3 linked regions of the Arabidopsis thaliana genome follow. The protein of the gene in region 2 purifies or fractionates together with the protein of the main gene of each other region. This does not show direct contact. Each region holds a gene or a part of one and is shown on either strand. Other genes may lie near its edges.

What was found. Proteins that work in one complex are often made in the same cells at the same time.
Region 1: the proteins of AT5G15610 (region 2) and AT5G25757 fractionate together in Arabidopsis thaliana (co-fractionation; one large-scale study listed by BioGRID). This does not show direct contact.
Region 3: the proteins of AT5G15610 (region 2) and AT5G24710 fractionate together in Arabidopsis thaliana (co-fractionation; one large-scale study listed by BioGRID). This does not show direct contact.

What each region holds. Positions count from the first base shown.
Region 1 is NC_003076.8:8,964,616-8,969,339, reverse strand, and holds AT5G25757 (RNA polymerase I-associated factor PAF67), read left to right. Parts: upstream 1-1,699; 5' UTR 1,700-1,879; coding exon 1,880-2,233; intron 2,234-2,364; coding exon 2,365-3,344; intron 3,345-3,435; coding exon 3,436-3,529; intron 3,530-3,621; coding exon 3,622-3,693; intron 3,694-3,780; coding exon 3,781-3,825; 3' UTR 3,826-4,195; downstream 4,196-4,724. Other genes in the region: AT5G25770 (alpha/beta-Hydrolases superfamily protein), read left to right, coding at 1-32; PEX4 (peroxin4), read right to left, coding at 167-255, 808-937, 1,020-1,268, 1,352-1,357.
Region 2 is NC_003076.8:5,077,543-5,082,768, reverse strand, and holds AT5G15610 (Proteasome component (PCI) domain protein), read right to left. Parts: upstream 3,312-5,226; 5' UTR 3,191-3,311; coding exon 3,098-3,190; intron 2,798-3,097; coding exon 2,668-2,797; intron 2,572-2,667; coding exon 2,433-2,571; intron 2,322-2,432; coding exon 2,109-2,321; intron 2,026-2,108; coding exon 1,887-2,025; intron 1,730-1,886; coding exon 1,579-1,729; intron 1,480-1,578; coding exon 1,370-1,479; intron 1,280-1,369; coding exon 1,025-1,279; intron 939-1,024; coding exon 840-938; 3' UTR 535-839; downstream 1-534. Other genes in the region: AT5G15620 (F-box/RNI-like superfamily protein), read right to left, coding at 1-304; SP1L4 (SPIRAL1-like4), read right to left, coding at 3,906-3,998, 4,074-4,364.
Region 3 is NC_003076.8:8,465,145-8,469,899, forward strand, and holds the start of AT5G24710 (Transducin/WD40 repeat-like superfamily protein), read right to left. Parts: upstream 3,030-4,755; 5' UTR 2,777-3,029; coding exon 2,645-2,776; intron 2,560-2,644; coding exon 2,475-2,559; intron 2,394-2,474; coding exon 2,354-2,393; intron 2,264-2,353; coding exon 2,015-2,263; intron 1,700-2,014; coding exon 1,600-1,699; intron 1,488-1,599; coding exon 1,413-1,487; intron 835-1,412; coding exon 736-834; intron 339-735; coding exon 222-338; intron 141-221; coding exon 25-140; intron 1-24.

The DNA of each region.
Region 1 (4,724 bases), 3.9 Mb from region 2:
AATTCCTTAAACAAGAAGATATGACAACTTGACAGATTGTAATATTGTGAACTAATAAAGAAGAATCATCTTCTTCTCGTTAATAATGTATTCACTCTCGCAAATCAATATCATTACAAATTTCAAAAAAAAAAACAAAAAAAAAGCAAGAGGATCATCATCATCATCATCCTTTCTTAGGCATAGCGGCGAGGCGTGTATACATTTGTGCCATTGAATTGAACCCTCTCACATCACCAGATCTTAGAAGATTCCCTTTTTTCCATAGCAACCACAACAAAAGCGTCAGTAGAAAAAAAAAACAGTTGCTTACTATAAAAACTAGGCATGGGCATAATAATCAAACTGAAAGAACCGAATCCGAACTGAAGCAACCCGAATCCGACCCGAAATGGTAAACTACTCAAATAGATCCTAAATTCTAGAACCAAAGTAATTAGAACTGAACCCGAACCGAACCAAAATATTTTGCGTATCCGAAATATGATTATATATCCAAAGATATTAGTTATTTTTAGTTTGAATAATCAAAAATACCCAAATAAGGAAAAATATATAAAAACACCAAAATATCCGGAAAAAAAGACAAAAAATATCTGAAATATTCGAAATAAAATATTCTAATGGATCCTAAACTTCAGAACCGAACCCGAACCTGAACCGAACTGAAACTGTTTCGGTTCCTATATGGATCCTAAAATCGAGAACAGAAAGAATCGGAACCGAACTAGAACCGAACGGGAACCAAACCGAATACCCGAACGCCCATGGTTACATTTTTGAAAACACTAAACTAGCATTTTGTACCTGAGTCGCAGTTAAGAGGACTGTCCGGCTCAGGATGAGCCATCAATGCTATGATAGCTCTACACACAGACTGAAGCGTCCAAGCAGGACTCCAAGCATTCTTCAAAATGTCGAGACATATTTCTCCTGTCTACAAAATTCCCAAGTACTAACTAAAAAACCTGCGTTTCCTTTTATCACAGGAGAAGGTTGTTATAAAAAGAGATGCAAACCTTGAAATGAACATTAGGATGGAATATCTTGGTCAAGAATCGAACTTGAGGAGGTTGCAAAGGATAAGGTTCAGGAACAGAAAAAGCAAGCTGAAAAACACCGCCTTCGTAAGGAGTCTCCGAAGGTCCTTTGATAAGAGCGGTCCATTTGAATATGTTGGTATCGTCACAGATCAATTGAATATCAGGATCTGCTACTTTCTCTCGCTGTACCTCTTTGTATTCTTTAAACAGTCGCGCTCTTGATGCCTATTACATCAATCAAATCAAATCAAATCATAAACATACACAGAGAATTTGCAACAAAACAAAAAAAAAATTAAGCAATTTACCTGCATCTCTAATTTCCCAAAGAGAACGAATTGTCAACTGCAAAAAGATCAATCTAAAATCAAGAAGAAATAAACCCTAATTTCTTGTAATTCACAGACGCAATTATCAGATCCCGTAACAATCTCAATGATTAGGTGAAAAGTGTTTTATACAAGAACAGTGATAATTAGGGTTAAGCAATGACTCTGCTTTAAGATCTAGAAAGAAAGACATAGGAGGGATGCGAAACTATAATTGAACATAAAGAGGACGAATCAACGAAGCTTTACCTGCAAATATGAGAGCGAGAGAGAGAGAGAGAGAGAGAGAGAGAGAGAATAGCGATGATTATGTGAAGTTTTTTTTTTCCGAACCATAGAAAGTTTTATTAAAATGACTTTATAAAAAAACATAACCGGATGATAGAACCGGTGGTAATAAGGAAACGAAACCGGATGATAGAACCGGTGGTAATAAGGAAACCCTAGGCGGTGGTAGTGAGTTAAGAGCTAACATTGTTGCGGCCGCTAAGAATTGATCCGGCGAGAATGGCGAGCAGCAATGAGTATGAGGAAGGTCCGGGGGAGAGGGAGAGTGGGTACGACCCAAATATGGTGCCGGATTCGGTGAAGTCGTTCGTGTCACACATGTACAGACACATAAGGGATAAGAACGTGTACGAGATCCACCAGATGTGTGAGACATCGTTCCAGAGCATATCGGAGCGTCTGTTCAAGGACACGCCGTGGCCAAGTGTGGAAGCGATTGCTCCTTACGTAGACAACGACCATGTGTTCTGTCTTCTGTACCGTGAGATGTGGTTTCGACATTTGTATGCGAGGTTGTCTCCGACGTTGAAGCAGAGGATTGATTCTTATGACAACTATTGCAGCCTCTTTCAGGTCTGTTGTGGAATTCTTCTACTTCTTCTTCCTTGTTAGATAGAGATGTTGTTGATTTTGATTTCTTTTGTGTATGTATTGGCTGGGAATAAATACAAGTAAGTAGACCTTCTTCCGTTTGTTCTTTCTAGGTTGTGTTGCACGGCGTAGTGAATATGCAGTTGCCGAACCAGTGGTTGTGGGATATGGTGGATGAGTTTGTCTACCAGTTCCAAAGTTTCTGTCAATTCAGAGCAAAGCTCAAGAACAAAACAGAGGAGGAGATTGCATTGCTCAGACAGCACGATAAGGCCTGGAATGTCTATGGCGTGCTCAACTTCTTGCAAGCACTTGTGGAGAAGTCTTGTATCATCCAGATCCTTGAGCATGACAAGGATGGCCTTGAGTTCACTGAGACTGATGGCTACGATTTCAGCGGTGGCAGCAACGTCTTGAAGGTCCTCGGTTACTTCAGCATGGTCGGTCTCTTGCGTGTTCACTGCCTCCTCGGTGACTACCACACTGCTCTCAAATGGTTGCAGCCCATTGACATCACTCAGCCAGGTGTTTACACCAGTGTCATTGGTTGCCATATCGCTACTATCTACCACTATGGATTTGCCACCCTTATGTTGCGGAGGTATGTCGATGCTGTTCGTGAGTTCAACAAGATTCTCCTCTACATTTTCAAGACTAAGCAGTACCATCAAAAGTCACCTCAGTACGAGCAATTACTCAAGAAGAATGAGCAGATGTACGCTTTGCTTGCTCTCTCCCTCTCCCTCTGCCCTCAAACTAAACTCGTTGACGAGTCTGTCAACTCTCAGCTGCGAGACAAGTATGGTGAAAAGATGATGAGGATGCTGAGGTCTGACGACGAGGCCTTTGGTATTTATGATGAGCTCTTCTCTTACGCATGCCCCAAGTTTATCACCCCTTCCGCACCACCAACTTTCGAGGAACCTCTTGTCAATTACAATCAGGATGCATACAGGCTTCAGCTGAAGATGTTCCTTTACGAGGTAAAGCAGCAGCAGCTCTTGTCGGGAGTGCGGACTTTCCTGAAAGTCTACTCCTCCATTTCTCTTGCTAAGCTCGCAAACTACATGGAAGTTGATGAGCCCACTCTAAGGTCAGGGACTAACTATGGGCATTCTTATAACTATTATTACCAAATCTACTTCTCTCTTTTTCTTTGACATGTACGGGGTTTTAATTTGCAGGACCATATTGTTAACATACAAGCACAAGACCCATTCAGTTGATTCCGATGGTAGGATCATCTCCAATGCAGACATTGATTTCTTCATCAACAACGTATGTTCTTTCTTCTCTCTCTGTCTTTCTGATATCTATACTCTGGTGCTTTTACAACGTTTGTAACAACTCTAAACCTGGTGACACTGCAGGACATGATCTACGTTGTCGAATCAAAACCCGCAAAACGTTATGGTGATTTCTTCTTGCGGCAGATTGCCAAGGTATGTTGTATAAACTGAAACTAAGACTAGTGCACATGAACTCTTGTTTTGATCTTTGGCTCTTCTTTTTTTTCCTCCATTGCGCAGCTTGAAGGTGTGATCAACGACATGGATCGTGTCAAGCTGGAATGACGACTTTTCTGTGTTACACCTAATTATCAATGCCCAATCTGATATGATGCTTTCTCTTATAAACCATAAGTTTACCTGGAGCCAAACACTTTTTGAGTAACTGTCTTCAAATTTCAACCATAAATCATTTTTGTTTTGAATTATTGCCATTTTTTTTTTTCATATTGAGTATGGCAGTTCAGTTTTTGATCGAGTTCCTTTCGAACTATTTGTCCTGTTTCTATATGCCAACGACGAGTTTAGTCTTCAGTAGTACAACTTTTTCCGTTTAAGATGTGCAAGCTTTCTTGTTCTTCTGTTAGAAAATTATATGATTGTCTCAATCTCATCAACAATAGTGAAATTGTAGTGTCATCGAATCATTTATAATTGTTTCATCGCTAATTCATTAAAGTCACTTTCTTCTATAACAAACAAACAGGTGAACAAAAAACCAAAAGAGAACAAATGACGTAAAGTCTTTTACCACAAATTATTTGTTTTATGATGAATCCAAAAAATTGTGTTTTGCTGTTCTGAACGGTTGTATTTTATTATCACAACATTTAGTTAAAAATGTTGACGATTATTTATGTGTTCATGTCTTTTCATCGTAACTTTCCGCTAACATTGCCGGTTATTTTTTTTTTTAGTACATTTTTATCGCAACTTTTCGTTTGTATCAGTCATTTTAATATTAACAGTTATTTTTTGGTGGGGATAACTACTTTTTTCGTTTGTGTCTTTTTATCATAACTTTCTATTTATATAGACGGTTATTTTTTTCTTTATTGTCTTTTTATCGTTACTTTTTATTTGTGTTTTCTCATCGTAACTTTCTGTTAATATCGATGGTTATTTTTCGTTTGTCTTTTTATCGTAACTTCGTAAAACAATTGACGGTTATTTTTTTTTGGTTA
Region 2 (5,226 bases):
CAAGATCCAAGACACCTCGCTTCAACACATTGCAAAGACAATCGTTGACAATATTATACTGAGCAAAATCCATAGACACCAATTTCAGAGAGAATCTCTTTATACGGTAACTGGCAGGTTCAGCTAATAATCCATCAACAAAATTCTTGAAACTTTCCCAATGATGGAAAACAACGTTTCGTTTGATAGTAACCAAATTCTGAAAGTTCTTGGAGACAAACTTTAAGCACGTAGCCTCCTTTGCCGAAAGAAAAGAAACGATGTGGTAAATAACATCGTCTGGTAAATTGCTGAATCTATCCATACTTATCCCAAACCCTAGAGAACCGATCGATCAATACCAAAAAAACTTCAATTTTCTAATCGAAACAAGAAATCTGAAGCCAACACGAGATTCAATATTGAAATTGTGATACGATCGACGACGCCAATTCGAGAGCTTTCTGACGCGAATCAAAGAGGAATTGACGAATAACTAGAGCGGAGTTGTGACATTTATTGAAAGCAAAGAAAAGAAACGAACACGACTGGGGTAATTTGAATCCACTATTTTATACTCGACTACTAAAACAAAGCTCTTATTTTTTAATCCAATGATTTTGCGCCAGCTGTTATTAGCCACTCCCAATATTCATGCATTGGTGATAAATTTATCTAAACAATGTATCGCAAGTCTCCGCATAAATTTAAGGGACAAAAAGAGGCCAACACAAAGAAGAAGGCCGGAATCAAAAAGATCCAACGGTCAAAAGAACTCTGCAAAGAATTCAATAAAGCTTTTGAGATGACAATATCAGATCACTCTTTAGATTGAGAAGCTTCTTCTTCAGAGATATATTTCAACGGACAGTCAATCCCTGAGCTGCTGATGATGTCTGAGTACCTTCCTCTGTTGCCTTATTCGATTCGATCGTGCTGATTACATTCCTAACATTGTCCTGCACATACCCGAACAAGAAACATCTTGTTATTACAACGAATTTTCAATATCGCAGGATTTTCAAATTTTGGTTTTATATTTTACCCGCCAAGCTGCTAGCTTTGTTCGAAGAGACTGCCATTGCTTTTGTCCAAATTCACGCTCGGCACAGCGGCTGATACATGAACAGATATGAAGTACGAGAATGTGTGACTTTGGATTTACACATATAAATCGAAATAGAAGTAGATTAGAAACTTGCCTGACAATTACAACTTGGTTCATCTGATCCATCTTACAAGCAACCAATTTTGCAGTTATTGCCTTAACCACCCACAATTCAACCTCCTCGTCATTTACCTGCACCCCCGACAAATTCGATGAGTCTGAGAAAGCAACGCAAAAAAGGTTATCAACATTTAATGTATTGTTCGTAGAAAAGAAGCTAACCTGTAGGGTGTTCTTGATCGAGGCATACGGTATTTTGCCAGAATCATCTGAGGCCAAATCAACTAGGGACAACAACCTCATCTTTGCTACACAGTCTTCCTCGACAAGTCCTGCAGATACCGTCTATGGCTTATTATGGGTTCACTAAAGAATGAAGGATTCGATTCATCTGAGGATCATGTCAAGCGGTAAAGGGATAAGAACAGTACCGTATGTTTGCAGAAATCCTGAATTCGCATTTTGGAATTCCATGTATGCATCTAGCCTCTGAGTAAGAAAAATCTTCAGTAGCTGGTAAACTGGTGCATTGTTAGGATCCTTCTCCAACTGTGCGACAGCTGGATGGTCTAATAAATCACACTGCAATTCAAAATACAAAAGTCAGGGATGTAATTCCAGTAAAAGACCTCACTGAACAAAAGGCGCAGTAGTTAACACTTACAAGCTACAATGACAGTAACAAGTCAACGTGCAAAAATCTTACGCATTTGAATGAATGATTTATGAATTAGGATACCTGAAATATACTGGGAGCCTTGACAAATTCAATAACTGCTCGTACAGCTTCCTCCTTGGCTTCACTCAGGACTTGGGTATCTTCATTGGAGAAAGTTGCCAAATAATTTGTCACAAACTGGAGGGATTCTTTCGCAAAACTGAAATATTGATTAAAAATCCCATGAGGACATTGGTATACCTTAAAAAAAGGAAAAAGAAGAAACAAACATTGTTGCAGTACCTTTTATTTTCTCTAAGCACTTTAGCAATAGCAAGAAATAGTTCCCGCTGATCTTTGATGTCAATGTTCCACTCTTTCAAGAAGCTGTCAATCTTCTTAAAGGAAGGTACAATATACTCGGTAACCTTCCCGTTTACAGCCAGTTCCAGAGCTTTCATGTATACTTGAAAACGAGCATTTGGGTGGTCTACCAGATTATATAGATTGAAGAGGCTGCACAGAGACAAGCAACAGATGAGAAACACATAACACAAAAATGAAACATTAAAATAGATGCTCAAAGACTCCTAAGAGAGATTAGCTCAAAGAGTCACACGATCATACATCTTCAAACGCAATGAAGCTTTGTCGTTTGGTTGTTGAATAACCTTAGCAGCTATAGCTTTCACCATTTCAAGGACTTCCTCAGGACTGTTCGCATTCTTGACAAGGTTGCAAATGATGGTGTAGGTACACTCAAGATCTAATAAGAGGCAAACACCATCAAAATTAAAGAGATATTATTTATGGTTAAAAAGGACTAACAAACATATAGACCTGCACACACAAAAAAACAGACCTTTCTCAGAGATTTTGGCTGATACCAAGTCAGCTGAAGTTACCATCAACGTTGCCAAATCCAGCCACTTCCCATTTATTATAGACTCCTCTGCTTCCTTACATAGCCTGGAAACTTCAGGCTCTGCGACCTAATAAGCAAAAGAAATCATAATCAACTAAACAATTCCATAGTGAGGCAATTTTTATTAAAACAATCAGATCAAGTGAGATTGCAATAGACACATGGTAGCTAAAACACTAAATTGCTCAATTCAGACTTCATTTTTATCAACACAACGCCTCAACAATCAGTGATTCCCAAATTAAGGTCGCATAAAGACAAAGATACCCAGAAATTGCTCATAAATTCCAATAACGAAATGTAGCAACTTTCGAAATAGACAATCGTATTCACTAGTCGATGATTGAGAACAGAGGTTGGTACCGACCTCGGGACCAGCATCAGCCCAGGCAAGCTGGGAAGTGAAACGAACAATGGCGAGGTAAGGATCTTCTTCGGAGGTGGGAACAATCGTCGTCATTCTCTGCTCGACTGAGTCTCTAACGCTAATCCTAAATCCCTAGCACAAGTTCGAGAGAGACAAAGCAACAAATTGAAAGCCCTAATCAACGTTTTATGGTTTTTCTCGGTTCAGAATTGAACCGGATCCGGTCTAATAATAAAATAACGAGGGAAAGAAACGGTTTTGTGCATCAAAATTAACGTACACAATCTAACGGTCAGGATCAATCGTATAATTTGGTGACCGGCTTGATTAGCCACCGTGATCCGCTTAATTGTACGTGTTCTTTTGGTTAAATGATCTCAAATGTTTATACTTAACAGTTGTTTGATAGATAGAAGCTGCAAGTCAAACATGATGATCAATTTTGGCTTGAAACATCCATGTTGTTAAGACAAGTAATGAACTAGTCCGAGACATTGCACTGTTGTTTATGCAAAAAAGGTTGAATTTCAGGAAGCTGTTATGAGAATGGTGACCGAGCAAGGAACATGGAACTTGAATAGTTGTATAACCAATAGCAAAGTTTGTAAAATGATTTTCTTTTGCTGGAAACACATTCTGGAGATCTCAAGATTGAGAAAGCTTCGTAGCTTTTTCAAGAACACAAGAAATGGCCAAATTCAAAACAATCCTCAAAACCAGTTTGTAAGGATAAAGAATAAAGTTTAGAACAATTTTTACATTTTTTCAAAGGGTCAAATGCATGAGATGTTTGTCGTGGAAATAGAAATCATTTGTCAGATCCACAAGGACCAGATCCAAACAAGTAACCCAAAGAAGATCCTCCACCTGGTGCAGCATGAACCTTCGTAGATGGTCGTTCCTGTTTCTCAAACCACAAAACCAAATCAGTTTTAAATTCAAGTTCCTCAATCAAACTTGAATTTAAAACTCTTACCGTGAGGAAGTTGCCACAGTTTTGTCCATCTGATCTGTAGTAATTATTAGGACTTCCTCTCACACCAGCCGAGTTCTCCTCTGTCTTGTTTTTATCTCCGGTTGTTGTAGTTGTGGTCGTGGTCTTGGGTCTACCTCCAGCTCCATCCGTTGTTGTTGTGGTGGTCGTGGTGGTGGTAAAACCGGTTTTAGCGTTGGGCTTGTTTGGTTTGGGAACAGACTCGCCGGAACCAAAAAGATAACCGAGAGAGCTCTCTCCGCCGCCGCTGTTAACTCCTCTAGCTTTCCCCATTTTCCGGCGAGAATATTCCGCCGCCGATTCTTGAAATTCTAACAATGTGTAACATTGTAAACATAATCCAGATCAATATATCTATAATTAATTTGATTACTTGTAAACCATTAAAGACACATAGGAGAGAGTTTTTTTTTTTGTACCTTTTTTTTCCTGATTTGTTTCTTCTTCTACGATTGGCCGCAAGTAAAGGTAAAGAAACAGAGGAACAAGGAGATACACACATGAATGTGTATATATACAATCTACACGTGTAAGATAGTGTGTGGTGAGAAATAGGCATGAAGTTTATGGTAGGCACGTGTGGGGTTAGTTGTTTGGTAAATCGCTTAAATTTTACCCGGTTTTTTTTTGGGTAAAAACCGGTTTGATGGACCAAAATGATTATTAATCATGAGCCGTTTAAAACATTCTTTTATGTTGGTACAACAAAGCTGTTTGTAACCATTTATGTTTAACAATTGTCATTTTTTATAGATTAAAAGATTCCAATCACAGAGGAAATAGTGACAACCCACGAAATTGTGGATTATCAATATTATCATCTAAATCATTGACAGGGAAAAGAGGGAGGCCATGATACAAGATTTATATTCCATTTTTAAAATTTCGAACTATACCATATTGCTAAGTATTTTAAAGAAGAAGAAAAATGATGAAAGTGTTGGAATGGGCTTAGGCCTCTTGAGAAAAGGAAACTACAAACGTAAGCCCAATATCTTTTGAGGTCCATCCAATTTGTGTTGGGCTATATTTCTCAACATGAAGTTTATGCTTTTCTGTAGTTTTTTTTATATCAAATTAGTGCAATTTTTTTTGGTGTTACTTTCTTTTTTTGTCAGCTTTTATGAATTCATTC
Region 3 (4,755 bases), 3.4 Mb from region 2:
ATACCAAATCTTAAACAAAGATACCATATGTGTGAATCTTTAACGCAAGTCAAAATATCAAGGTTTGGCGCTCGAGGGTGACACCAAGATGCAACACTGTGGCAAGCTAGTTTCGGGACAGGTTTAATTCTACGTAGCTCCTGTAGAATAAAAGTAGATATGCATGTTAATAAATGAGATCGGGAAAATATGAAAAATCCATACATGAGATACACCATTACCTTAAATGTCATTGTATCCCATATGGCCAATGTCTTGTCAGCCCCAATTGTAATCAATTGTGGAGCACTCCCACTTACCCTTGACAGCTCAACAGCCACCACCCCACCATCATGTGCCTAATACAATCAGAACAAAAACATTAGAAGAAGCCAAGAAGGGATTAGGAAAAAAAAAAAAAAAAAGTATAACAGAGAAGTGGAAATTATCCACTCAATTAAGCAAACATGACCATGTCTATTACACCAAAAAAAAAAAAAAAGCACGAGCATGTCATAGTCCCCTAATCATTACTCAGCCTTTTATAAAAAGAATGAAAGAATATCTAAATGCAAGTATCCAACATTCAGAAACAGACACAGAAATCAATTCAGAAGGTTCACTGGAACTAAGAACAATGGTGCCTTAGCCTCAGCTGTAACCAAATCTGGCAAATCTTTCCAGGCCTAAGAATTGAACGGTCATGGTAATATCCTCTCTTGAACTTTGAATGAAAGAGTGGGCATAATTGAGTACCTTTAAGCTAAGCTTGGGTACAAGTTCCCTTGAGTCAGCGCCATGATCGGCACTCCACAGTACAAGTAAGCCATCACTGCCACCTGAAACAAGGAGTGCCTGCAATTGCATTTAGATAGAGGATGGCTAGTATCATGTATTGCACATAAATAACAGAGAGAAAATACTTGATAAGCATTCATTAAAAAACGTCAAGTTATATAAAAGGGAAGAAAGCCCAGTACTATCAGAAATTCGCTATTAACATAACCTAAACAAGCAATTGGGAAAAGAGATGCCAATGTTTAAAATTCCCGCCGCTCCTAATGCCTAGGCTATGCATGAAATTTAACCCGAGTACAGATGATCTAAGAAACTAAGGCTAGATATTTGGATTGTAAAACAGGTATCCGTATAGTAAGGCCTGCTGCGGTCTGGACTCCCACTTAGTAGAATGTGAGATTTTTACGTCGCTAAGAAGAAAGAGATATATGTAGGAAACTTCCAAGACGATATGCTCAAGACCTCGTTTTCATATAATATATACAGTCGATCTTAGTAGGTGATCTTGAGTATGTTTTTCTAAGTTACATGACACTTTCATCTATCAGATGGTATTAACTATTAACATATTAAGTAAATAACTCGAAATAAATTCAGAGCAATAAAGAGGGCATATATAGGGAATATGTAGTTACTTCGCCAGATGATGCCATGAAATTCATCAAGCAATAAATGGATCCTTTATGGCCACCTGTATATCGACGTGCAAGCTGCAAGGAAGTAAACATTCAAGGAAATTAACACAGATCAGTATCAAAATCCCTCACTCTAAACCCAGCAGAGAAACCAAAAAAAAAAAATATAATTTTGAAACAAACAAACCTTCCATGTTATCATTGATAAAACCCGAATGACACCATCAGTTGAACCAAATGCAACTAAAGGGCCATCACCACCAGATGATCTCGAAAGAAACTCCATGCTGCAAAGAAAGGAAGAATTCTAGCAACATTAAGGAGGAGTAGAAATTAAAAATGTAGAAAGGGAGTTTGGCCATTGACTGAACATTAAACATCAAGGAAGCCTGGTATCCATTACACTTAGAACACACATATCCATTACACTTATGCCTAGTCTACATTTGACTCAAATATTTCCAGCGTAGTAACTAACGGAGGTCTTTCCAGGATTCAAGTGATTTAAAGATAGGAAGCCTAAAGTAATGGAGCATCTTCCCCGGGGTCCAGGTGTCAAGCAAACCCATATCCTAAAATTAGAGAAAAAGCAATGAACTTACCAGAGAAGTGACTTGTTATCAAGCTCTTGCTTTGGCACATCACGACCACGCATTGTCACCAAATCCAAGAAAATAGCTTTATTCTCACAACAAATGACCAGAAAATGACGGCCTTTAGTCGATGGAGCAGGGGAAGTGAAAGCAGATGTCAGATGATTGACAGCTGATGGAGATTCAGCAGCTGCGGAGCGGTTGCGCCACAGTTGCCAATAACGCACATCATCGTCATAAAACTTCACCTGCTTAACGCTAGTAGGTGCAAACATTGAGCAGATAAGTCATTTTTCTCATTATCGAAAGGAGCAACTGAATTAGCAGCGAGAAAGATCTATCTACTACCTTCCTCCTCGAATGGCTTCAGTAGGCTTAGCTTTATAGTCTGAGGAAAATACGAATGTCAGTAAGAACATAAAGCATCAGAAACTCATACTCATTTCACCAGAATAGAACAATGGCTCACCGGATTCTCCTTCGGCGAGCTTCTCTAACTTGGCACCAACTAAACGGCGCTCGTCAACTCCGCCGGCTTTCAATTCATAAATTACCTAACACAATAGACATAAACGTTGACAGATCCACGATTCGAAATCAGAACCGGAACCAAAATCAAATCAGAATCTCGATACAGACCTGACGATGCTCCCAATTCCAGACGGAGACGTGATCTGAATCATCAGCCGTAACAAGCCATGGATGCGTAGGATGTACCTGTATCTTCACAATCTTACCATTGGTCTGCCGAAATGCTCTCGCCCGCAACATTTCGATCTCTCTCTCTCTCTCTCACAGTTCTTCAAGATCAATTAGACAACTCAAAAATCTGAGCACAACTGCATCCGCATAGACGATTCGACTCACGAGAAACTCTCCAGAGCTACACACTAAAAATTTCCAGAAAAAGCAAGCAGGGCTATGGTCAGATCCAGATCAATTAGATCCACCGCGGTTATCAAATGAAATGCCCGGATCCACCACCACTAACTACAATCGCCGAACAAAAACTCCGGTAGTGTCTTCAGACGCGAAACGCGTAAAGCGCGAATTTGCGAAGGCTAGTCTGATTAACCCAAAAAAAAAGGCCCAATAACAATTGTTTTAGCCCTTTCCTTTGTCGCAAAATATATTCCATTTACGGAAATTAATTGTGGATCCGTTGGATCACTGAACTTTTTTTTTTCTTGTTCATAAGTTTCTTTTTTATTCAAATTATGGGTTTACAAACATCACTAAAGCCCAGTCATCAAAGTATTTCACAAATCCATAAAGGGTACAACTAAACACCTTGTAGTAAAGAGTACAGCGCTAATAAAACAAGTCAAAGCAACATACGACACGTGGATGTGACTTTTCTCTTACGCCGATGATTGTTTCATCGTTATCTCCCAGCACCACCATCAAATCCGATAACCCACCATTTCCTCTACGACAATCTCATCACGCTTGTAAATCTGACTCTCTGCTCCACAATATCCAGAGTTTATATTTGATCTAAATTTCTCCAGAACAGCAACGATCTATGACAAAAGAGAAATAAAAAACCATGATTTCTCTTGATGATTAAATCTTACCAGATATGCCGAATTGAGATTCTAAATCAAAGGATTGAGAGAATCGATTTAGGTTGAAACAAACTCTAATAGTTGATTAAAACCCAAAAGGTAAAGATTAGAAATGAAACAAAGATTGACTTTCATCTAAATAAGGATGCAAAAAAGCTTGAGAAAAGAGGATGATAAGGAAAACCCAAAAAAAAATTGGTACTAAGATCACAATGATTATTGAAAAGCAGAAAGGTAAAACCGGTATCAAAGAACTGGAAACTAAAGCCGGATTCCACTAAAGAGAAAAGTAGAAACCAGACGGCGAGATAAGACGGCAAAGCCGGACCACGTCCGGATACAAAAGCCAGCCACCACCACTAAAGAAGCCAATTGATGCTGGAAACGAACCAACCATCGTCGTTAAAGAAGCCGAACGATGTTGGACGGAGTCTTGCCATGAATCGCTTTTTCTTTCTCTGAAAAATTCAAGTGAGAGAAGAGAGAGAAAATCGAGAAGCCTCCGATCACTAAACTTTTAAAGAGAATTCCAAATGAATTATCTCAAACAAAATGACTATAGTATTTGGTGTAATAAGGGTTTACTATGTTTACAACTAAATCTAGAATTCGATAAAAAGATTTGCAATCAAAATTAAAGTCTTATTTAATCTTCAATTTAATTTAATTTTTTCTTTACAGGTTTCATTGAAGTTTACTCAATACACTTCGATTTTTTGTTTTTCCCGTCTAAACTTGTTTTCCTCATACACTTATAGAAGATCTTAACTTAATAAAGAACAATAAAATCAACGCCGCTTGTCTTCTTCAATGCGAGTGTAACCACATCGGACTTCCACGAGCTAAATATGATCTGCATCGACCTTCTCTCATTACGCTTGTGGCTATATCTCGTGCGATGAAACCTTAAATACGATCTTATCAAAATTCGGGAGAAACCAATGAATCCTATCAAGATAAGATAAATACGTGGCCAATCTAATGGGTCACTAATGGCTTCCATAGGAGCACCATAGTCGGACCAAATCTCAATATTATAGAAGTGTAGATCACATAGACTGTGTAGTACCCATAATATCCCTCTCAACTCCGCAGCAATACGATTTGATGTTGGTAAAAACATTTCTCCCGCATGAAAAACAGCATCACCATGATGATGCCACATATATGAGCATCATGATG